3 linked regions of the Callithrix jacchus genome follow. The protein of the gene in region 1 purifies or fractionates together with the protein of each later gene. This does not show direct contact. Links are inferred from orthologs where the notes say so. Each region holds a gene or a part of one and is shown on either strand. Other genes may lie near its edges.

Region 1 (8,312 bases):
TACCAATAAGTTATCACTTTAGATGCAGATACGATTTTAAAGTTCATATTACCATCACCAAATGTGACCCACAAAAGCATTTGTAATAGGCACAAATAATTTTTCAAAAGAATGTGAAATGACTGGCATGGGGATTCAAGATTGGCAGCGTTTGAAAAAGGCAAAATTGTTCTGAATTAGAAACAATAGCAGCAATAATGAAACTTGATGGAAAGATCTGGAGAAACTACCTCAAATAAGGGGAAATTATAAAGACTATAAGTTAAAAGAGCAATAAAAGCAAAATCTCAGTGGCTTGAACACAGTGATGGTGGGTGGTAGGCCGAACAGAACTGTCCAGTGGCAATTTAGGTAATCTATGAATATAAGCTTTATAATGCCAGCCCTGCAATATTTTCACTAATATCAACATATTCCTAATTTTTTAAAATAGGAGTGAGAGAGGTAATGAGGCATTGCATCTCCTACAAGTTGGCCATAAACTGCAGGGAAGATGGGGAAGCTAGCCAAAATCTGTCCTACACAAGAAGTATCTATATTTTTCATTTACAATGAACCTAAACAGAAATGTTTGGTCCTCATCAAAACTTGGATGGAAGACAGCTCTCTTACAGATTCTGAAAACACAAAAATTCTCCTTAAAATAGACTTGAGATGTTTCAGAATATAAAATTCATACGACATATTGAATATCTTCTGTTTAAAATAGCTGAAGTATTTGAAAGGTAAAATGAGGACCTCTGAAAATCTCTAATGAAAAATTGGAAGTAAAATTGTGTCTCCTGAACATTTTTAAATGCTTTAATAAATGTCAGTATTAAAATTCTTTCAGGATGTATACATCCATAGGTGTTCTTCAAGCTGATGTGGAGATAAAGTACCTTGGTTAAAGACCTTGCAATATTTAGCTACATATACAGCCATACCTCAGAGATATTATGGGTTAGTTCCAGACTACTGCAATAAAGCAAACACTGCAATAATGCAAGTCACATGAATCATCTAGTTTCCTAGTACATATAAAATTATGTTTCATTATATCGCAGTCTATTAAGTGTGCAATATTATATCTAAAACATGTACACATTTTAATTTAAATACACCTTATTGCCAAAAATGCTAACAATCATCTGAGAATTAAGCCAGTCGTAATCTTTTTGCTGGTGGAGGGTCTTGTCTGCTGATGTTGATGGCTGCTGACTGATCAAGGTAGTACTTGCTGGAGGTTGAATGGCTGTGACAATTTCTTAAAATAAGACAATAATGAACTTTGCTGCATCAATCGACTCTTCCTTTCATGAAAGATTTCTCTGTAGCATGGGATGCTGTTTGATAACATTTTACCCACAGTAAAACTTCTTCAAATTGGAGTTGATTCTCTCAAACCCTTTAAAGCCACTGTTTTAGCAACTAAGTTAATGTAATATTTTAAATTCTTTGTTGCCATTTCAACAGTGTTCAAGGACCTTTACCAAGAGTAGATTCCATCTCAAGAAACCACTTGTTCTGTTCATTCATAAGAAGCAACTCATCATCCACTAAAATTTTATCATGAGATTACAGCAATTCAATTCCATCTTCAGGCTTCACTCCTTATTCTAGTTCTCTTGCTGTTTCTATCACATCTGCAGTTACTTCCTCCAATGAAGTCTTGAACCTCCCAAAATCATCCATGAGGGTTGGAATCAACTTCTTCCAAACTCCTATTAATGTTGCTATTTTAACTTCCACCTAGGAACTGTAAGTGTTCTTAATGACATCTAGAATGGTGAAACCTTTCCAGAAGTTTTTTCATTTGCTTTGCTCAGATCTATCAGAAGAATCACTATTCATGGGAGCTATAGCCTTACAAAAATATTTCTTAAATAATAAGGCTTGAAAGTCTAAATTACTCCTTGATCCATGGGCTGCAGAATAGTCGTTGTGTTAGCAGGCATGAAAATAACACTAAGCTCCTTGTACATTTCCATCAGAGTTCTTGGGAGACCAGGTGCACTGTCACTGAGCAGCAATCATTTGAAAGGAATCTTTCTTTTTCTGAGCAGTAGTTAAAATATTCAGTAAACCATGCTATAAACAGATGTGCTGTCATCCAAGCTTTGCTGTTTCATTTATAAAGCACAGGCAGAGTGAATTTAGCATAATTCTAAAGGTCCCTAGGATTTTTTAAGTGGACAGTGAGCACTGGCTTCAACTTAAAAGTCACTAGCTGCATTAGCCCCTCACAAGAGAGTTAGCCTGTTCTTTGATACTTTGAAATCACGCACTGACTTCTCTTATGTAGCTATGAAAGTCCTAGAAGGCATCTTCTTCCAAAAAAGGGTGTTTTGTCTACATTGAAAATCTGTTGTTTCGAAGAGCCACCTTCAAAAATGATATTAGCCAGATCTTCTGGATAACTGGTTGCAGCTTCTACAACAGCACTTTCTCCATCACCATGCACTTTTATGTTATGGAGACAGTTTATTACCTTAAATTTCATGAACTAGCCTCTGCTGGTTTCCAGCTTTTCTTCTGCACCTTGCTTACCTTTCTCACCTTTCACAGAATTGAAGAGAGTTTGGGCCCTACACTGGATTAGGCTCTGGCTTAAGGGAATGTTGTGGTTGGTTTGATCTTCTATCTAGACCACTAAAACTTTTTCCATATAGGCAATAAGGCTATTTCACTTTCTCAAGACTTGTGTGTTCTTTGGAGTAGCACTTTTAATTTCCATTAAGAACTTTTCCTTGGCATTCACAACGTGGCTAACTGGTACAAGAAGCCTAGCTTTCGGACTATCTTAGCTTTCGACATGCCTTCCTCCCTAAGCTTAATCATTTCTAGCTTTTTTTTCTTTCTTGCATGTCCTTCCAATGTAGCATATCTACCTTTTGATTTAAGTTAAGAGATGTACAACTCTTCACCAGGGAGTGGCTGTTCGATGGAGCAGTCAGAACACACACATTTATCTATTTGATTTGATATATGAATACAATTCATATGGCAGTCCCCCAAAATAATAACAATGATAATATCAAATACCATTGATCACCGTAACAGATAAAATAATAATGAAGTCTAAAATGTTGTGAGAATTACCAAAATGTAATTGACACAAAAAGAGCACATGCTGTTGGAAAAACAGCCCAGAAAGACAACTGATACACAGTTGCTACAAACCTTCAATCTGTTAAAATTAAATAAATAAACTGTGTTTTTTAAGGCAATTACCTGAGAAGCGCAACAAAGCAAAAGACAATAAAACAAGGTATGCCTGTATTTGTCTTCTTTGAGTATTTTCATGTTATTTTAAAAGAATACAAATCAGTTTGTTTTGAAGGTTCACAATTTTAAAAGAATAGTGTCTGGTTTGAAATAATAAATCTGAATCACAACAGAGCTGGCTCCTTTGAAATGCATTCACATTGCAAAATGTAGAAAATGGTTCTATTCTGGATGAAAGATCTCTGTAAGTGTATACACTTTCCACCTAGAAACAGTTTTATATGAGGCTGTCTCATCTCATGCCATCTGACAGATGCATTTATGTATGAATCTTTGCTTCCCCTCAAAACATCTTTATTAGGGAAGAAATTGAAGTTTTCAATTTTTGCAGGCCACTTACATTTTCTCTTTTCAAGGTGAAACTTTCTGGCCAGGGTCCTTTTTTCCTAATTATAAGCAGCAGATACAAAAATGTGTGGTGTGGAAGGTCATGGAGGTCTTCCCTGGAGAAAATGTTTCTTCATGTTCACGAAATAAAATTAAGTTGAAATGATTTCTAAATCAACATTTCCAGACTTCATTATAATTATATTTAAAGCCAGGGTATAAAAACAATAGGTAGTAAAATCTTAACTTATCAATATAAATACTAAAAATGCTCTAGAAAATTTCCAATGTATCATTGTCAATACATAGATAGTATTTAGGAAAGTATATCATTGAGAAAAACATATACAACTAAGTTTAAATATTTGCCAAGATAAAAGTGATGCCAAGGAAATTAAAAATAAATATAATAAATAATTTTCTAAATGACACTCACCAATCACAATGGAAGATTCACAGTGATAATAACCATTACTTTGTTTTTTCTTCTCCATGGAGCAAAGATCTATGCGATATAATATTTCTTCTCCAAATCTGTGACTGATAAACTTTTCATATAAATCAGGATCTATTTTTTTCACTCCCTTGAAATGAAAAAACAAATAAATCAATCAATCATTTTACCCAGGCAGCCAATTCATAGTTACATCATTTTCTTAGAACCTGATTATTACATTTTGGTATAAAGTACACCACTGCCTACAGGCACTTGAAAATGGATACATAACAACAAAATCGTTATAAAGTTGTTTTTCAAGTCTCCCTGCCTAGAATGAGTTGTATTTTAAAACCATCAATAAAAAGTGTTAGGTTTAAATTTGGCAGTTTTTCTGAACTTAATACATTTTAAGCTCTGAAAATAAGTATACTGAGTTAAAACTTGAGATACCAAGGAAAGACTAACCATCCCCAACAATAATGGAGAAATGGATCAATTTTTTTAAAGCAAGGTAGGAAAAAATAAAATAAAATAAATCTTTAAAAAGTAAGGTAGATCTTAACATTCTATAGTGGGAAAATGTTCTAATAAGACAGACACAATTTTTAAATTCCTTATGTTAGAATCATCTGAAAGACAATTAAAGACGACTTGAATTGGAGTAGGGAGGTGAGTGGATCTTCCAAGTTCTTTCTACCTGCTCCTCGTTATTTTCAGTGTATTTTCTTAGCAGAAACAGATGGTTGTTGAAAAATTACAGTGGGATGTCCTTGGTACCTCTGTAATTTCCCAAATACGGGAAAGAGTATCTCTACCTCTGCTATACTATACAATGGCCCTGCAACTTGGCCTCAGAGTCCCAAAATACAGTCCATAAGATGAAGGTAACTAGAATACATATTTTCTCTTTTCACTAACAAAAACTTACTTAGAAAATTAGTTAATAGAAAAAAATTGATAAAAACAAAAAAAATCATTACAAACTGCTACTGCTATAGTTTTATGCGTTTAGTTTTTCCTATGCAAAAACAAAGCATATTTTTTTCTCTTCTATAGAACGTGGTTGCTCCCTGAGTACTATTTGATAACCAGCTTTATATTTTCAGTAAATATGCTGTGTCAGTAAATAATATACAGATGTGCCAATTATTTCTCTCCATAGAACTTCATTGCATGGAAGTCTCATAATTTATTCATTCAATTATTTACTATTGGACATTTAGGTTGCTCTTAATTTTTAATACTATATATTAAACGAGTTTTTGTTGATATGTTTTTGTTCAATATCTAAAACTGGGCTCCTAATCTCTCCCACTTACCTCCAAGTGTTATGAGACTAAGTTAATTTCTAAAAGTACTTAAAACAATGAAATATAATGAATTATATACATATAAACATACATTCATATAGTCACTATTATCATTAGTGAACTTCATGTAATAACTTCAGTCAAGATAAGACTTCAAATATAAAAACATTCTGAGTAAATGGAAAATGACCAACCATTCTTGTCTTTTAAATGCTTGTGTGTGTGTGTGTAGGGGTGTGTGGGTTGGAGAGAATCATTCCTTTAGACTGGCGATAAGACTGGTGATAACATAGCAGATAAATAAGAACCTTCAATTTTCAAGAAACCGGTGCCAGCACTGATGAGCCACTATCACTATAATCTTCACATCAGTTTTGCAAAATGTCTTTTTTTTAAAGTAAGAAATAAAACATGAGATTGACTCTAATATTCTAGGCTTACTAATTTAATTTCCACAAAAGGTAAACACCAATTGTTTTGCAAGAATATTTCACAGATGACTTCCAACATGAGTCTTCAGGAGTTAACTTCTACTACCAAGTGAAACAGAATTCCTTAACTCATAATTTATAGAGAGAGCTATGGTTGAAAAGGCATGATGCCTTTAGAAGGCACTGAAATTACATGCCCTGATCAGAAAAATCTTTAGCAATAAACAATCTAGAAATAGCTAAACCTCTGCACTGTCTGATATAAATTACAGTATCAACATGATCTTCATTCTCTGGAGAAATTTTTTGTTTGGCAATATATTTCTTTTATGATAAAATTTATCTGAATTGATCTCACCATCAAGCTGCAACAGGTGGTGTTTTCTTCCTTACTAAAAAAAAAAAAAAAAAAGGGAAGACTATGATTCTGAGAAAATAAATGATACCTCAAAAGTGGATGATTTAGGGTAAGACTAAGAAGGGCCCTATTTTCTGAATGAATCCAGAGGGATGGCAAAATTGTTTCAGAAGCAACATCCTTCCAGATTATGTTTTAAAGCTAAAAAGGCTGGGTGATGGCGTTATTTTCAGGTTGTGGACCTCCCCAAATTATTCGCTGCTTCCCTTCATCATAGGCCAGACCCAAGGCACTATCACTTAAATATCAATGGAGGTACACAATGTTAAGAGGGTTCAAAGGATATGAAAATTGTTAAATTTGACCTTTAAAGGCTAAGAGTTGGGACTATTTCAAATGTAGAAGAATAATATGTAAGGTATCTTTAACAAATCATGCTCCTGGTGTTGCAACCCTAGAATTTTGAATATGATTGGTGATGGTCTAGTACTTTGAAGGTTATTTTTGCCTTGAACATAACAGGGACAAGGTATATTTTCAAGGGCTTCATATTTATAATTGTACCCAATATAAGTGACATGGCAATTATGTAACATAATATTAGAAGAGAAAAATAGGAGGTTAAGTATGGAATATCAGACTTTGAAACAATAAATCAGTGGCAAGAAATGTCAAACAGAAAAAAGTTTTCAAGGCTACTTAATTAATCATTAGAAATAACTGAAGTTTTAACTTATCTTTAGCCTAGTTTCAATCACAGTTTAGAAAAAATTATCAGCGATGTTCAAAAACACTTGATAAGCTTTGATACAATGTACAGTGAACCAGGAATTTCATTCTTGGTTGTAATTTGGCACTCAAACAGTCCACTCCAGAGAAAATGCCACTGAAAGCATGGGTATTTTTAGAATCATCTGATGGCTCAATCTGATATGTAATGGAAATTATTTACTCAGGAAGCACTCACCATATCATTTACATTTAGCTAAATGATGTGCATAATATGTGCCCAAAAAGGCTCACTCACACTTATATTACTATGCCTCTGACCCTATTTTTAATACAGTCACAAAATATGTAAGTTCAAATTCTCAAAGTGAAAATCATTTAATGTTCAAAAGGTACATTTATTCATCTTTAATTTTTATGACAAACTTTTTGTCTAAATAATAGAAATTAATATTAAGAGGGCTGAAACTTTTTTGTAATAGAACATAACTTCATATTGTTACTTGTTATAACAATCACAACTTCCATGAGGAAAATATGAATGGATTTCATACAAGATTTATTTGAACGGGCTTCATATAAGAAATTATTTGTCCTATTGATAGTAAGCTTGGCATTCCTGGATCTCTGCTATGTTTTCCAATAGTTTACTGCTGACATGCAAGTAGGTATAAAAGAAATATATATTTCCTGGCCAAACATGCTGGCTCACACCTGTAATCCCAGAACTTTGGGAGGCCAAGGCGGGCAGATTACAAGGTCAGGAGTTTGAGACCAGCCTGATCAATATGGTGAAACCCTGTCTCTACTAAAAATACAAAAATTAGCTGGGGGTGGGGGCAGCACCAGTAGTCCCAGCTACTCGGCAGGCTGGGGCAGGAGAATTGCTTGAACCAGGAGGTGGAGGTTTCAGTGAGCCGAGATCACACCACTGTACTCCAGCTTGGGTGACAGAGCAAGACTCCATCTCAAAAAAAAAAAAAAGGAAAGGAATATATATTTCCTGTGATAATGACTTGACACCAAAATTAAGAATGGGATTTAAGAGCCAAACTCGCTTTTCATTTTGGGCATCAGCTGGTTAAAGAATAGTAATCCTTTACACTTATTTTTTAAGTGGCAAAAGGTTACATTTGTTTAATGTTATATTGGTTAAGAAATTGAAATCACTTTTAGTAACCATTGCCCCAATGCAAATGTACATATTGGCAATTCAAAGTTATGAAAACATCATATATTGGCATGGGGCTTGTCCACAGCAAATCTTAAAGTTCTTCATGACTCCTTCACCTCTTTGCCTAACTCCATTTTTGGCTGTTATTTGCACTATATCCACCATCCTCCTGATACAGAACACTTAGTTACCTCCTCACCAGCTGCAGCCTTCCCTCAGCTCCTCTGAGTCAGGAAGATACTCAGTTCCACCCCAGCCTGTTCTTGAAAGGGAGGGA
Region 2 (7,526 bases), on another chromosome or scaffold:
TGCAGTGCCAGGAAGTGCAGGCCTTTACTCAGGCCCCTCAATGGTACACATGGGCACAGGGTGTGGTGGGCCAAGTCAGGCAATCCCCAGGCCCTCAAACAATGTGTTTGAGTGCAGGCAGTGGGTGGTTTGGGTCTGTTTAGTTAGACACCCTGATGGTGCATGTGCATGCCAGAAGCAGCAAGCAGGGCAGATGGATCCCCAAGCCTCCAGACAGTGCGTTCAGTCACTGTGGGAGGTACCACCAGGCAGGGAGGGCCTACCCCCAGGCTCCCCTGCTGTACCCGTGGTTGCAGGCTCTGGTGGACAGGGCAGTCTTCAGGACTCTGGGCAGCATGTTTTGATGCCAGTGGCTGATGGCCTGAGTTTTTTTAATGCTTCCTAATCGTACATATATGTACCCAGAGTGATAGGCAGAGGGGGGCACTCCCCACGTAGTGTTCTGGGACATCGGGAGGGGTCTCACCTAAAGGGACAGGCCTGTCCTCAGGCCCTCATTGGTGCACCCAGATGCAGATTCTGGTAGGCAGGAAAGGACTATTCCTAGGCCCCGGGACAAAATACTTGGGAGGTGGTAGGTAGGGTGAGTCTGTCCTCATGCCCCCAGATAGCATCCAGGTGGGCCAGTTCTCAGGCCCACTGCAGGTGGTGCAAATACATGGCAGCCCTGCTGTGGGGGCTGGGCATTGCTATCAGTGGCCCCAGGCAGGTGGCTCTCAGGCTCTGGGGAGTGTGTGCTTTGGCTTCCTTTACCCCAGAAACAGCCTTGCCTAGTGTGCTGCCCTACCTGTTCTTTGCAGTGGAGGACATTGTGTGGGTTAAAGTGCTGGGGACCCTGCTACACCATTGGGTCCAGCCAGCACTGTGCCACTGCAGCCCTCTTGGTGGACATGGGGTGCTGTCAGTGGGGCTCCAGGTGTATAGAGATGCATACAGTCCAATAGTAGTTGGCCTCTCAAAATGGCACTGTGCTTCAGCTTCTTGGGTCCTGGGGGGTATGGGACCCAGCACAAACTCCCTCTCTGGAACAGTGCTGTTGTGTGAACTCTAGGCAGGTCCCTATACTTGTGTCAGAATTCACAAGGGTTGTGGGCATCTTACATGGCTAGGATTGCAAGAGTCTGTGGTGGAAATGCAGACCACTGGGGATTTCTCAGTTACCCTTTCCCCACACTGGATAACCTCTTCTGGCTCCCAGCTGGTCCCAGCCATGCCAGCTATTTACTTCCTTTTGCTTCTCTGCCTCAGATGTTCCCTGTCCCTTCCCTGCTAAATTTCACTGCTCTATCTTAGAGGCTTTTTTCAACAAGTAATTATCTGCTCAATGTTTTGGTCCGTTGTAGAGGAGAGTTCTGGGTCAGCCATCATGAAGCCCTGACCTTTATTTTTCATGAGTTCTTTTTTTCTGTTCTTGTACTGTGTATGTTACTGCTTTATGTAGCTTTATAATATTTTAATAAATATTAAATAATATTTTAATATTTAAAAAATATTAAAATAATATTATAATATTTTCTTCACCCTTGTTTACCCTTTCTAAATTTTTTGTTTTCTTGCCCCATGTGCTTTATTTTAGAGTCATTAGGTAATTTATATTTCCTAGAAAATCATCCTTATCTCTTGTATGTTTTCTCTTTCTTTTTTAATTAGACTTGCCAATGGTTTGTATTTTTGGTCTTTCTAAAGATTTATTGAATTTGGGGATTAACAGTAAAGTTGAATATTAGGAGAGAACCTGAATCTTGAGAATTTACCATTATGAACATGTTACTTCTGCATTTACTCAAATATCTTTTGTCCTTCAGTAAAGTTTTAGAAACCCCCTTTCCTCCATACAGGAATGAATTTATGTCTTAAAGTTATTGATTAAATGTATATTTTGATTGCTATTATTAATGTGTTTGCTTTACCATTATAGTAGGATATGGGCAAAACAATTTCTATGTTTATATTACAATTGGTCATCTACTAAATTCTCTTACTGATTTCCACATTTTTCAGTAATTCCTTTGGATTTTTGTTGACAATCACAAGAGATTAGTATATCATTTTGTCTGTCCCTTTTCAGTATTTATATCTCATTTCCATTTTCATTTTATTATATTTATTAAAATGTCTACAACAATATTTTAATGTTTTGTTCCTGCTTTGAATTGAAATGCACTAGAATATATTTTCAGGGATCATTTCTATAGTTTGTTGCCATTCATGTTTTACCACCAAATAGAACGTTTGCCATTTGACTGAGATAGGTATTCTTTATCAGATTAACAAAATATTGTTGATTCTTAATACACTTATTTTATCTTTTTTAACATGTTAGTGTGATGAATTATATCAGGGAGACATCCTCACTTTCCTGGAATGAATACCATTTAATCATGGGGGTATGATTTTAATATTTGCCTGAATCTATCTGCTAAAATTTTATTTGGGCTTTTTACTTCCATAGTCAAAAGTTTTATTAATCTATAGTTTCTGTTTTTCTGAAGCTGGGATTATATGGGATTCATAAAAATGAGTTTAGGAAGTTTCTATGCATTTATTCTTCAGAAAATTTAGGAACATAGGATCATCTTATATCTATTCCTTATCAATTTTAACAAACTAATTCTTGGAGATTGGTCTCTTCAAGTTTTTACTTCTTGAGTAAATTTAAGAAATTTATGTTTCCAATAAAATCCATTTCCCTTTCTTTCTATCATCACTCATATTACCTTTATTATTTTATTTATTGTTAATTAATGCTTTTTAGAGGTATATTTTTAGACTTCCTTGAGGTTTGTCAACTTTATTAGTATTCTAAAGATTTCTAATGTATTTGAATCTTTTCATATTTGTATTTAGAAATAAAATCTTCTGCCAAATAGCAATTATTTACTAATCTATTCATATTATGTTTAGTTTTTAATAATTATTTCTAAAATGGGGTAGAACTAAATTGCCACTACTCATTTAGAGTTTATGTGCTTTTCAAAGGGCTTGACTTATCCCAGGTAATAAACAGCTAACCTACCAACAAGCACCACATTGTAACATACAGGTTGTAGTAATGGACAAATTGATTGACAGCTGAATCTTGATTATCAGTGAAACAGATGTAAGGCTCCCTGGATAATTTACAAATAGAAATAATAGAGTACTTTAATTTAGCCATTTATTTTAATATCTTCTCAACTATTATAACTATGCACAACAGTGCAAAAATCATAGTAAATATGAATAGTTTTCATTGTCTTCTTTGTTCTCTGATGCATCTCCAAATGCATCAAGGGGAAAAAAAGTCAGAACAAAGAAGTGGCCTGAACAATTCAAACTGTACAATCATTTTCTCCACATGATTGCCCCAATAGATTTGTTATTCTAAATTGCTGGCTGGCTAGACAGTAGGCAGCTATCTGCTTAGCTCATTCTTCTGGAGCATGCAAAACAGCAGTCCCCAAAACAGGGCATGCAAGGCAGCCAGCTGTCAAACAAAAAGATAATATGAGAAGTCTCATTCCTGCTTATTTTTACCTTATTCTTTTTAAATGCCTTATTTGTAGGTATATCTTATATAATAGCATAGTCATGCACCTAAATAACTTATAAGTAGATAACTACATCTATTATATGTACTAGAAAATGTTTTACTGAAAGGGATATAAGTTAAAAAGCTGTGGAGAATCATGAATTTGAAACCTGCTTTAGCCACTTATTAGTCATGTGAATTTGGTTGACTCTTTTATAATCTGTAAAATGGGAGTAAGAACACCTGTCCTTCCTTCCTCACAGTGTTGTATTGAGAACAAAATAAAGCAACTGTAGTAGTTTGTAAATTCTATAAAGGCTGTGCAAATTGTGAATTTTTTTTTAAGTTTAAGTTTTTAAAATCTTTTCCTCAAATGTATTCAGTATCCCCATTTAATCTTTACAGAAGACCATAATTGAAGTATTGGAAAGACATTTTAGTTTCAGGATCAAAGGAGAAAACTGTTTAAAGTTTAACAGTTCTCTCATTCTAAAAGAGATATGTTTCTTTCCAACTTCTCAGAAAGTTTTGATGGCCAGATATTTTAAACAAAATAAACTGGGGAATTAATAAAGGAAAGAAATTAAAAGTAAGTCTGAGATTTATCTGTAACTTCAGGAGAAAAGAATTTTTACAAAAGGGATAGAAAAAGATAAGGTTTTTAAAAACAAGGAACTGAAAAAGGAAGGACTAAAGTTTTATAACTTTAGGAGCCAGGATTTTGGTAATTATCCCAGAAATTTCTTAAGTATTTCATTGACCTGCATACTTCCTTGAATGAAAATGTTGAGGTTAATAGCTAACCTACTGCTTGCTGCTTCTTTTAGCACTTTTTTTTTCTCTCTCTCAATAATAGGTTGAAGCTCCATTCATACCAAAGTTTAGAGGCTCTGGAGATACCAGCAACTTTGATGACTATGAAGAAGAAGATATCCGTGTGTCTATAACAGAAAAATGTGGAAGAGAATTTGATGAATTTTAAAGAGGAACAAGATGACATCCGAGCTCACACTCAGTGATTGCACTCTGTTGAGAGATAAGGTAGAGCTGAGACCGTCCTTGCTGAAGCAGTTACCCAGTTCCTTCATTCCAACTGAGTGAGGTCTTTATTGCCATCATCCCGTGTGTGCACTCTGCATCCACCTATGTAACAAGGCACCGCTAAGCAAGCATTGTCTGTGCCATAACACAGTACTAGACCACTTTCTTACTTCTCTTTGGGTTGTCTTTCTCCTCTCCTACATCCATTTCTTCCTTTTCCAGTTTCATTGTTTTCTCTAAACAGTGCTCCATTTTATTTTGTTGGTGTTTCAGATGGGCAGTGTTATGGCTATGTGATATTTGAAGGGAAGGATAAGTGTTGCTTTTAGTAGTTCATGCCAATATTGTTGTTGGTCAATGGCTTGAAGATAAACTTTCTAATAATTATTTTTACTTTGAGTAGCTCAGATTTGGTTTTGCCAAAACTCTTGATAATTTTTGAAGACTGTCTTATCACCAAGGAAATGTATACAAATTAAGACTAACTTTCTTGGAATTCACTATTCTGGCAATAAATTTTGGCAGACTAATACAAACAGCTAGACCCAGAAATTTGGATTGCTACAAATCAGAGGTTCTAGTTCCCTTTCCCTCCTTTTATGTCCTCCTCCCCTTGAGCAATGAAGTGACCAGCCTTTGTAGTGTGACAAATGTGTCTCATTCAGCAGGAAAAACTAATGACATGGATCATCACTCAGATTCTCTCACTTGGTACCAGCATTTTTGTAGGTATTAGAGAAGAGTTTAAGTTTTCTAAACCTTAATTGTTCCTTAAGGATTTTAGCCAGTATTTTAATAGAACCTGATTAATGAAAGTTTTAAAGTTTCTTTTATAGTTCTCATCATAAAATTTTTAAAGGAAAATAAGCAAACTAAAAAGAACATTGGTTTGGATAAATACTTATACTTTTCAAAGTCAAAAAAAGGCTTGATTATTGCAACAATATAGAGGTACTTATCTTTAAATGAGGGTTAACTGTTTTGTTTTGTAACCGTTAAAAATGAAAGAAGTTGTTTCCAGCTAATGATTCTGGTGTACTATAGTTGTGAGCCTAGGGTAGGGGCACTGCTGCAACTTCTGCTTTCATCCCATGCCTCATCAATGAGGAAAGGGAACAAAGTGTATCAAACTGCCACAATTGCATTTTCATTTTGAGGTATGATATTTTCAGAGAGTTCATCATTTCTAACCTCTTTTCTCTCAATAAACAGAATGTCTAAACGATCGTGCAGATACAATTTTAGTATTTGAGAGGTTAGTTTTTTTCCTACACCTTTTTTGCCAACTGACTCAACAACATTGCTGTCAGGTGGAAATTTCAAGCACTTTTGCACATTTATTTCAGTGTTTGTTGAGAATCCATGGCTTAACTCAGTTGTTTTGCTTTTTCTTTGCTTTTAATTTTCCCCATCTGATTTTACCTCTGTTTCAGTGACCTACCTTAAAACTACACACAAGAAGAGTTAAACTAGGTTCATTTTTATGATCAATTTACATGCATATAAAGTGAGTTGTTTTTAATCAAACTGATCTTAATGTATATAACCATTCTATTTGCTTTATTATCGGTGCAGGTAGGTCACTCACATCACTTCTCATACGTACCACACCCTTGTAAAATCTTTGAAGACTTAAAAAAAATCCTGTCTGAGATGTTCTTTTACCAATCTATATGTCTTTCGGTTATCAAGTGTTTCTGCATGGTAATGTCACGTAAAGGCCAATATTGATTTCACTGGTCCATCTATATTTAAAATGTGCAATTTAAAATATTCTGCTCTAGCAAGTTTTGTGTAACAAAAGCATATCATCATGTTAATAAATTTAAAACGTCATTTGTATAAAATATTTTAATTTTCTTGTATTTCATTAAGACCCAAGAACATGCTGACCAATGTATTCTATATGTAAACTACAAATTCTATGGTAGCTTTGTTGTATATTATTGTAAAATTATTTTAATAAGTCATGGGGATGACAATTTGATTATTACAATTTAGTTTTCAGTAATCAAAAAGATTTCTATGAATTCTAAAAAATATTTTTTTCTATGAAATTACTAGTGCCCAATGATAGAATCTACCTTAGGTAGATGACCCCTAGACATATATTGCTTTTGAGGGCTATTCAGCCATTCCATTTTAAGGCCACTCTATTTAAAGGACATGAGCAAGCTTGTCATGAGCAAATAAGTCAAGGGAGTTCATTTCTGACCACTCAAGTACACTAAATTAGAATATTTTTAAAGTATGTAAAATTCCCAATTTGAGCCCCAATTTAGCCAAGAACAGGTTAAAAACTTGAATAAGAAATAAGTAGCATAAATCAGTATTTAACCTCAAATTACATTATTTAAAACAGAAGATATTATATTATGCTCAGTAAATGATTAAGAGATGGCATTGTAGAAGAAGGAGCCCTAGACTGAAAGTCAAGACATCTGAGTTTCAGGCTGGAAAACAGTATGATCTCAGCCTCAGTTCTCTTATCTGTAAAATGCAAGAATTGGATTAGGCAGTTTGTAAGATTCCTCCTAACTTTCACAGTTGTTGACAAGATTGCCTTTTTATCTGGTATTTTGAAAGGATATATTGCTTTGAAGCAAGTCTCAGTAAGGTGATACATTTTAGGGCATCTTTCTTCTTATCTCTGACAGTGTTCTTAAAATACTTTGAATATCATAAGAACCTTGGGGTCTGTCCTAATTCCTTTCTCATTCACTGATGCTGAATACCCAGTTGCATCAAACTGTCAACCTACCAAAAAAGATACTGTGGCTTATGGGTATTGCTGTCTCATTCTTGGTATATTCTTGTATTGACTGCCCATTGGCCTGAAAATACTCATTGTAAGCCTGAAAAAAAAAATTCCTTTCCCACTGTTTTTTCTGCTTGTTGTAAGAATCAAATGAAATAATGTATGTGAAAGCACCTTGTAAACTGTAACCTATCCATGTAAAATGTTAAGGTGTGT
Region 3 (8,312 bases), on another chromosome or scaffold:
GAGAACACCAGCGACACTTTTTTTTTTAAACAAAACTTTATTGGTAATAGTTTTCAAATATGTTTACAACAGCACACTGTTCAAGAGGAAGTCTCGTCCTTCTCAGCACACAGGTTGAATCGCCCCCGAACCCACCCGGGGCCCCGTCCCAGGCCTGAGAACTCCTCCTGGGATGGGGAGAAGTTATGAGAGGGGGAAATAAGGGGATGAACGGGGTAGTCTCCACTTTTCTATTAAGAGAGAAAAATGCACAAATGAGACTGGGGGGAGACGTGATGGACAGCTGACAGCTAAGCCGGAGGAGGGGGACCCAGGATGGCAGAGGCGGAAGCTGGTGGGTGAGTAAAACAGGCAGCTCCTCCCCAGCAGCTCTAGCCTTGAACGCCGGGCCAAGACGTGGGGGCACTTGGCCTCTTCCGTGTCCTTTTGCAGATATGCCCTCCCCACTGAGCTGAGGGAAAGCTGGACATTAAAATCTAGTGGAGAATAAAATTAAGGAGTTGGGGGAAATTGCTGCTGGGAGGAAAGACTTGGGCTTGGGGCTCCCCCTCTGTCTTTTTGGGGGATGACTCCTCTTTGGCAGGGAGAGGGACAGCTGCTTTGTCTGGCTCTCAAAGCCCAAGGGTGAAGACAGGTCTGCTGGGGAAGAAGAGAGCGGAGGATTCCTAAAGGGGACTAGACCCTCGCAGGATTGGCAGAGAGGATCCCCCAGGGAGGGTCCCAGAGGAGATTAGCAGCTCAGCGGGGAGGTTCAAACCCCAGCGCCTCCCTTTCCAAAGTCAGTCTGCTTCTCATTAAAATGGATTGGGGAATGGGGGGACATGGGAGGGGTGGGAGTAGAGGAGGGAGGGAGGGAGGCACTGGTGGAACTTAAATAAGATTTTAAATCGTTTTTAAAAAAATTCTAGCAAGCAGCCCACTAAACATGTCACTAAAAATCTCTCCTTCCCAGGCAGGATTACTCCAAAGGGAAGGTTGGCGCTTTGTTCATTTGCCCTTAGCAAGTGGTGCCTGTGGTTGGGTGGGATGGGGGTGTGGGTGGGGGCTGGAGTTGAGTTTGAGCCCCTTTCCACACCCTGTCCCTGGATACACCAGCAAGACCTGGTCTGACTGGAGTTGAGGAACTCGTTTAAAACAGGCAGAAGTGGGCTGGGGTAGGGGCTGTGGGGGAGGAGGAAGGGAAAAATGGGAGGGGGGGGCCGGAGGGCAAAGGGGATGAGGGGGAGCAGCTGGTGTTTCTGTTCCTCCGATTATCTGGGCTTCCTGCTCCCCCTAACCCTGGAGGGTGGGGTGGGGGTGAAATTAGATGCAAGGAACTCTGGGGCCCTCTGGCTGTTCAATCCAACCCTCCCACCCCCCCCAACAACAACAACAAAAAAAGGAAAGAAATGAAAACCCATGGGGGCACAGGCACACCCCTAAAACTCATTAAACTCCTTGCCACACTTCTCATTGATGGAGACCCGGATTTCTTCTTCCTCATAGTCGTCAAAGTTACTCGTGTCCCCAGGGCCTTTAAACTTTGGTATGAAGGGAGCTTCCACCTGGAGAGGGATCAAAAACCACCCATACCTCAGCATTCAACATAATCATTATTACAACAATAAATGTGAATGGCCTAATGTTCAAGAGATAGTTACTCTGACTCAGGCCTGTGCTTAGCATTAGGTTATGGATTCCTCTTAACAACCAGAAATTCTACATGTAGCCAGCTCAAGGGGAAATTACTTCCCAGAGAGAGGCATCTTCTGCACTAGGTCATGGAATGGTCAAATGACACCAGAATTCCATTTCTAGATCCCACTGGCTCTAAGCACTCTACTCTAGGTTGCTCCTGTACCTCCCATGTTCTCTTCCCTTTCTTTCTTTCTTTCTATTTTGTTTTGAGACAGTCTCACTCTGTCATCCAGGCTGGAGTGCTTGGCTTACTGCAACCTTTGCCTCCCAGATTCAAGCAATTCTCCTGCTTCAGCCTCCTGAGTAGCTGAGATTACAAGCGCTTGGCACCATGCCCAGCTAATTTTTGTGTTTTTAGTAGAGATGGGGTTTCGCCATGTTGGCTAGGATGGTCTTGAACTTCTGACCTCAGGTGATTCACCCACCCTGGCGTCCCAAAGTGCTGGGATGACAGGCGTGAGCCTCTGAGCCTGGCCCTCTTCCCTTTCTATCTCTCTGTTGGTTGTCCTCCCTGACTCTTGGCCTGCCCCCAAATCTTCAGCAGGCTTAAGGAGGGGAGGCCCACCTTCCTCTGGTAGATGGCGATCCAGTCAGTCGTGGCAAACCACTTGTGGTTCTTGATATCGTTGACCCCATTCTTGAGGTTCCCAAAGCGCTTGGTGAGATCTACCTGCAGGAGGTTCCGCAGGAGGTCCTTCAAGTCAGAGCTGAAGTGGGAAGGGAACCGCACCTGGAGGAAGGGGTACAAGGACAGGGTGGGAAGCTGCTCTGGAACTTGGGGAGCCCAGGATGCTTCCTTCTCCATCCAGCAGTCCTACTGGGTGGGTGCCTCCAAAGCTGAGTGCCTGCTGGCATCCTGTAAAACAGCTCCTTGGGCCCACCCTAGAGTTTCTGGTTTAGGAAGTCTGATACTGTGGCCTGAGAATATGCATTTCTCAAACAACTTTTTAAAAATTAAAGAGCTAGTTACTCTAAGAAGTTTTTGGCTGGGCACAGTGGCTCACGCCTGTAATCCTAGCACTTTGGGAGGCTGAGGTGGGCAGATCACAAGGTCAGGAGTTTGAGACCAGCCTGGCCAACATGGTGAAACCCCAGCTCTACTAAAAATACAAAAATTAGCTGGGCATGGTGGTGCGTGCCTGTAGTCCCAGCTACTCCAGAGGCTGAAGCAGGAGAATTGCTTGAACCCAGAAGGTGGAGGTTGCAGTGAGCCGAGATTGTGCCACTGCACTCCAGCCTGGGCGACAGAGCAGGACTCTGTCTCAAAAAAAAAAAAGTGTTTGTAGAGACAGGGTCTCGCTACGATGCCCACGCTGGTCTCGAACTCCAAGGCTCAAATGATCCTGCTTCGGCATCACAAAGTACTGGGATTATATGCATGAACCACCACACCCAACAAGAATCTGCATTTTTTTTTTTTTCTTTGAGGCAGAGTCTCACTTTGTCACCCATGCTGGAGTGCAGTGGCGCAATCTCAGCTCATTGTAACCTCCGCCTCCTGGGTTCAACCAATTCTCCTGTCTCAGCCTCCCAAGTAGCTGGGATTACAGGCGCACGCCACGAGACCCAGCTAATTTTTATATTTTTACTAGAGACAGAGTTTTGCCATATTGGTCAGGCTGGTCTCGAACTCCTGACCTCAGGTGATCCACCCACCTTGGCCTCCCAAAGTGCTAGGATTACAGGTGTGAGCCATCGTGGCTGGCCCAAAAGTCTGCATTTCTAGCCAATTCCCCAGCAATAGTCCTGCTGGAAAGGAGTCCCCTTTAACAACCATAAGGCAAGTGCTATTATGGTTTCCATTTCAGAGAAGGGGAAACTGAGGCTTGGAAGGGTTAAAGAACTCTTCAAAGGTCACGCTGAGGAGTGGGACGGGGCAATTCCATCTCAGGTCTGTGGGACTCTAGAACTTGCATTCTCAGCTACTGCTGCCGTAAGCCATCTGTGCTGGGGTCTGTAGACTTCTGAAATAGTCATGCTTATGTTAAACGTTTTTCCCTCTCTCCCTGCCTAGCTAAGTCTCTTCCATTCTTTAAAGCCCAGCCCAACTCTTGTAGAAATCTTCCCCAAACGTTCTGAGTACATAGCCTTGTAGACAAGTCGTCACTGGAGTTATAGTTGCAAGAAATGACTTCTTGTTCCTGCTGTGCCTCTTACATGCTGTGTGACCTTGGCCATGGCCCTTAACCTCTCAGGGCTGCACGAGGAAGATAATACCACTGAGGGTGCGGGGGGACTGGAAAATGCTACAAAGAAGGGCATCATGTGCGTCTTCCCCTGTGGGATCTTCTGTGGCTTTTTTCTCCATTTTTTCCCACTCTGGGCCATTTTCTTGGCAATTTCTATTCGGCCTAGTGGCAAATGCCTCATCTTTCCTTTTCTTTTTTTCTTTTTTTTTTGAGAGATGGAGTCTTGCTCTGTTGCCCAGGCTGGAGTGGAGTGGTGCAATCTCAGCTCACTGCAACCTCCGCCTCCTGGGTTCAAGCAATTCTCTGCCTCAGCCTCCCTAGTGGCTGGGATTATAGGCACCCGTCACCATGCCTGGTTAATTTTTTGTATTTTTAGTAGAGATGGGGTTTCACCATTTTGGCCAGGCTGGTCTTGAACCCCTGACCTCGTGATCTACCTGCCTTGGCCTCCCAAAGTGCTGGGGTTACAGGTGTGAGGCACTGTGCCTGGCCTTCCATCTTTCCCTTTTAGTGATGCTATGTGTCTAACCAGAGAACCCCAGTTGCCTGAATTTTTTTAAGACAGGATCTGGCTCTTAGCCCAGGCTGGATTGCAGTGGTGCAATCACAGCTCATTGCAGCCTTGATCTTTTGGGCTCAAATGATCCTCCTGCCTCAGCCTCCCGATTAGCTGGGACTAGGGGTGCACCATCATGCCCAGCTAATTTTTAGATTTTATTTTTTAAAGAGATGGGGTCTGGCTATGTTGCCCTGGCTTGTCTGGAACTCCTGGCCTCAAGCCTCCACCTCCCAAGGTGGTGTGATTACAGGCGTGAGCCATTGCACCCAGCCCCAAAGTTTCAAAGCCAGCACTGGGCCCAGGCTGAGCCTGAGGGTGCTCCCACCGGGTGTGGTGACTCTGGGCCGACCAGAAGCTCCTATGTAGGAGATGCTGGACCAGGTCGGAGGATGGCTGGGTCCTCCCAGCAAGGTGGCTGAGCTGAGGGCAGAGGTGGGGTCCCCAACCTCTCTGGCCATCAGTGCCTATGATGACTCCTCTTACTCACTAAGGTGTGATCTTGGTCAGGACACATCTCTTTTCCCAGCCAGTTTCCTCACCTCTCCTACAGAGGGTGCCACCATCTCAGGGTGTGACTGAGGGGGGTGAATCTGGGGCCTGGCAGATGGCAGGCACTTTGCACCTGTCACAGATACAAGCTTACATGGTTTTACCACCCTTAATCTGAACTTTCAGAGTTTGACAAATCTGTGTTTTCGAGAGGAAGCATGGGCCTTAAACCCTAAGCGAGGGTCCTTCCTGGTGAGGCTGCAGACTGCACCTGGGAACCAAATACATCTTGGAACTTGCGAAAACTCACACTGACGGGGACAAGGAGAGGTGAGGAGGGTCGCCTGGCAAGGTGGTTTGTGTTTTGCAGCAGGGAAGTTCCCGTGAGGCTCGGGATTTTGGAAGCCCCTGGGATTCTGGAACCGTGGGGTTGGCGCTGGACAGCCAGGGGGCTCATGGTATTGGCACATCCAGCTTCACCACCTGGCCTGACTTACGGAACTTCTAGGTGATTCTGACAACAAGCAGGGCTCCCCAGAGAGTAGGATGGGTGAGCGGGGAAGGGACTGTCTCATTCTTTCAGGACTGTGCCCCTCATCCAGGCCTCACCTTTCCAGAGACGATCTTCTCATAGATCTGGATGGGCTGGTCTGCGAAGAAGGGCGGGTAGCCAGCGGCCATCTCATAGATAAGAACCCCTAGGGCCCACCAGTCCACAGCCTTGTTGTAGCCCTGGAGTGAGATTGGGAGGGAACAGGGTAAGGCGGGGGCGAGAGATAGCGAGCAGAGCCAGCCTCAGGGGAAGGGGAGGGCTGGGGAGGCGCCTACTTTGCTCAGGATGATCTCGGGGGCCAGGTACTCAGGGGTCCCACATAAGGTCCAAGTGCGGCCCTTCACACGCTTGGCGAAACCGAAGTCTGTCACCTGTGGGCACAAGAATAAGCAGTTGGCAGGGAGGGAGGGGCCAGGCCACGGCTTGCCCAGGGCTGCCCCTCGCCCGGCCTGGTGGACACCTGAATGTAGCCCTGCTGGTCGATGAGCAGATTCTCTGGCTTCAGGTCCCTGTAGATGAGATCCAGCGAGTGCAGATATTCGAAGGTCAGGACGATCTGGGCCGCGTAGAAACGGGCATGGGGCTCACTGATGGGGACAAACGGGGAGGTGAACGTCAATGGCCAGGCCCCAAAAGGGTCTAGCAGGTGGCCCTGCAGAGCCTCCCCCAGGGGAAGACACCCCCAGTCCAGCTGTCAGAAAGGCCAGGCACCTGATTCTTAGGTGGCCCGACCTGGGAAACAGCCTGTAGGTCCATCCACAGGGGAATGGAATCACAGACTGAGCTCTATTCATACAATGGAATTCCACTCAGCACCACCACCGCCAGCAGGACATTGCCTGCCTCCACTCCACAACGTGGCTGCATTTCAAACCGATTATGTTAAGTAAGAGAAGACACAAAAGAACACGAATGATTCCATTTATGTCATGTCCACACCCAGACAAAACAAAGGCACGGTGTTTGAAGTCAAAGGATGACTGCCTTTGTCGGGGACCTGACGTGTCAGGAGAGGGAGTCAGTCGGGCACATTAGCTCACGCCTGTAATCCCAATATTTTGGGGGGCTCAAGGTGAGCAGATCGCTTGAGCCCAGGAGTTCGAGACCAGCCTGGGCAGTACAGCAAGACCCCACCTTTGCTTATTATTGGAGGGAAAAAGAAGGGATTCAAGAGAATTTTCTGGGGAGATAGAAAAAGTTCCATATACTGTTTTGGATGGAGGTTAGGTGGCTGTGTACAACTGTCAACATTTGTGGAATGTAACACTGGAGATCTGTGCATTTTATTGTATATAAAGTGAATCTACAGCTATCTATCTAAAATACAACTACAGGGCCAGCACCATGGCTCAGACCTGTCACCACAGCACTTTGGGAGGCCGAGGGGTGCAGATCACCTGAGGTCAGGAGTTTGAGACCAGCCTGACCAACATGGAGAAACCCCGTCTCTACTAAAACTATGAAAATTAGTCAGGTGAGGTGGCCTGCACCTGTACTCCAGGCTACTCAGGAGGCTGAGATGGAGAATCGCTTGAACCCGAGAGGCAGAGGTTGCGGTGAGCCGAGATCGTGCCACCGAACTCTAGCCTGGGTGACAAGAACGAAACTCTATCTCAAGAAATAAAATAAAACAAAATGACATTTGTAAACTTACAAGTTTGTAAGTTAAAAAAATTTTTTTTCTTTGAGCAGGGTCTCTGTTACCCTGTCTGGAGTGTTGTAGTGTGATCGTGGCTCACTGCAGTCTTGACCTCCCAGGCTCAGCGTGTCTTTCCACCTCAGTGTCCCCACTAGCTGGGACTACAGGCATGTGCCACCATACCTGGCTAATTTTTTTTAAATTTATTTTTTGTGTAGATCGGGTCTCAATCTCCTGGGCTCTAGTGATCTGCTCACCTTGCCCTCTCAAAGTGGGGTTACAGGTGTGAGCCACAGTACCGGCCTGTGTCTTAAAGTTACACATTTATGTATATAGTTTTATTTTATGTATAAAAATATACATTAAAATCTATACATATAAAACTGTTGATCTATATAAAATAAAATAATTTTTTTTTTAAAAAAAGAGACAAAATCTCACTATGTAGCCCAGGCTGGTCTCAAATTCTTTTTTTTTTTTTTTTAATTCTTTTTTTCTTGAGATGGAGTTTCACTCTTGTTACCCAGGCTGGAGCACAATGGCATGATCTCGGCTCACTGCAACCTCCGCCTCCTGGGTTCAAACAATTCTCTTGCCTCAACCTCCTGAGTAGCTGGGACTACAGGCTTGCACCACCATGCCCAGCTAATTTTTGTATTTTTAGTAGAGACAGGGTTTCACCATGTTAACCAGGATGGTCTCGATCTCTTGACCTTGTGATCCACCTGCCTCGACCTCCCAAAGTGCTGGGATTATAGGCGTTAGCCACCATGCCCAGCCTTAATTTTTTTTTTTTTTTTTGTAGAGATGGGGTTTCACCATGTTGGCCAGGCTGGTCTCGAACTCCTGACCTCATGATCCGCCCACCTCGGTCTCCCAAAGTGCTGGGATTACAGAGGTGAGCCACTGTGCCCAACCTCAAATTCTTGAGCTCAAGTGATCTTCTGGCCTCAGCCTCAAGAATAGTGGGACTACAGATGCATGCCACTTTTGGGGGCTCAAAAAAAATGCACAAAATCACCAACTGCAATTTTTTTTTTTAAGACAGAGTTTCACTCTTGTTGCCCCAGGCTGGAGTGCAGTGGTATGATCTCACCGCCACTTCTGCCTCCCGGGTTCAAGCCATTCTCTTGCCTCAGCCTCCTGAGTAACTGGGATTGTAGGTGCATACCAACATGCCTGGCTGATTTTTTTGTATCTTGTAAA

Evidence for each region.
Region 2: the proteins of AKAP7 (region 1) and PRKACB purify together in Homo sapiens (affinity purification with mass spectrometry; 4 studies listed by BioGRID and IntAct, counting the BioPlex papers as one, with this or other methods). This does not show direct contact. The link is inferred for Callithrix jacchus from reciprocal best matches to the Homo sapiens genes AKAP7 and PRKACB.
Region 3: the proteins of AKAP7 (region 1) and PRKACA purify together in Homo sapiens (affinity purification with mass spectrometry; 4 studies listed by BioGRID and IntAct, with this or other methods). This does not show direct contact. The link is inferred for Callithrix jacchus from reciprocal best matches to the Homo sapiens genes AKAP7 and PRKACA.

Annotation. Positions count from the first base shown.
Region 1 is NC_133505.1:137,883,144-137,891,455, reverse strand, and holds part of AKAP7 (A-kinase anchoring protein 7), read right to left. Parts: intron 4,179-8,312; coding exon 4,031-4,178; intron 1-4,030. UniProt on the Homo sapiens protein: Probably targets cAMP-dependent protein kinase (PKA) to the cellular membrane or cytoskeletal structures.
Region 2 is NC_133508.1:121,452,309-121,459,834, forward strand, and holds part of PRKACB (cAMP-dependent protein kinase catalytic subunit beta), read left to right. Parts: intron 1-4,367; coding exon 4,368-4,493; 3' UTR 4,494-7,526. UniProt on the Homo sapiens protein: Mediates cAMP-dependent signaling triggered by receptor binding to GPCRs.
Region 3 is NC_133523.1:12,871,136-12,879,447, forward strand, and holds the end of PRKACA (cAMP-dependent protein kinase catalytic subunit alpha), read right to left. Parts: intron 6,055-8,312; coding exon 5,928-6,054; intron 5,839-5,927; coding exon 5,743-5,838; intron 5,647-5,742; coding exon 5,524-5,646; intron 2,408-5,523; coding exon 2,243-2,407; intron 1,545-2,242; coding exon 1,419-1,544; 3' UTR 18-1,418; downstream 1-17.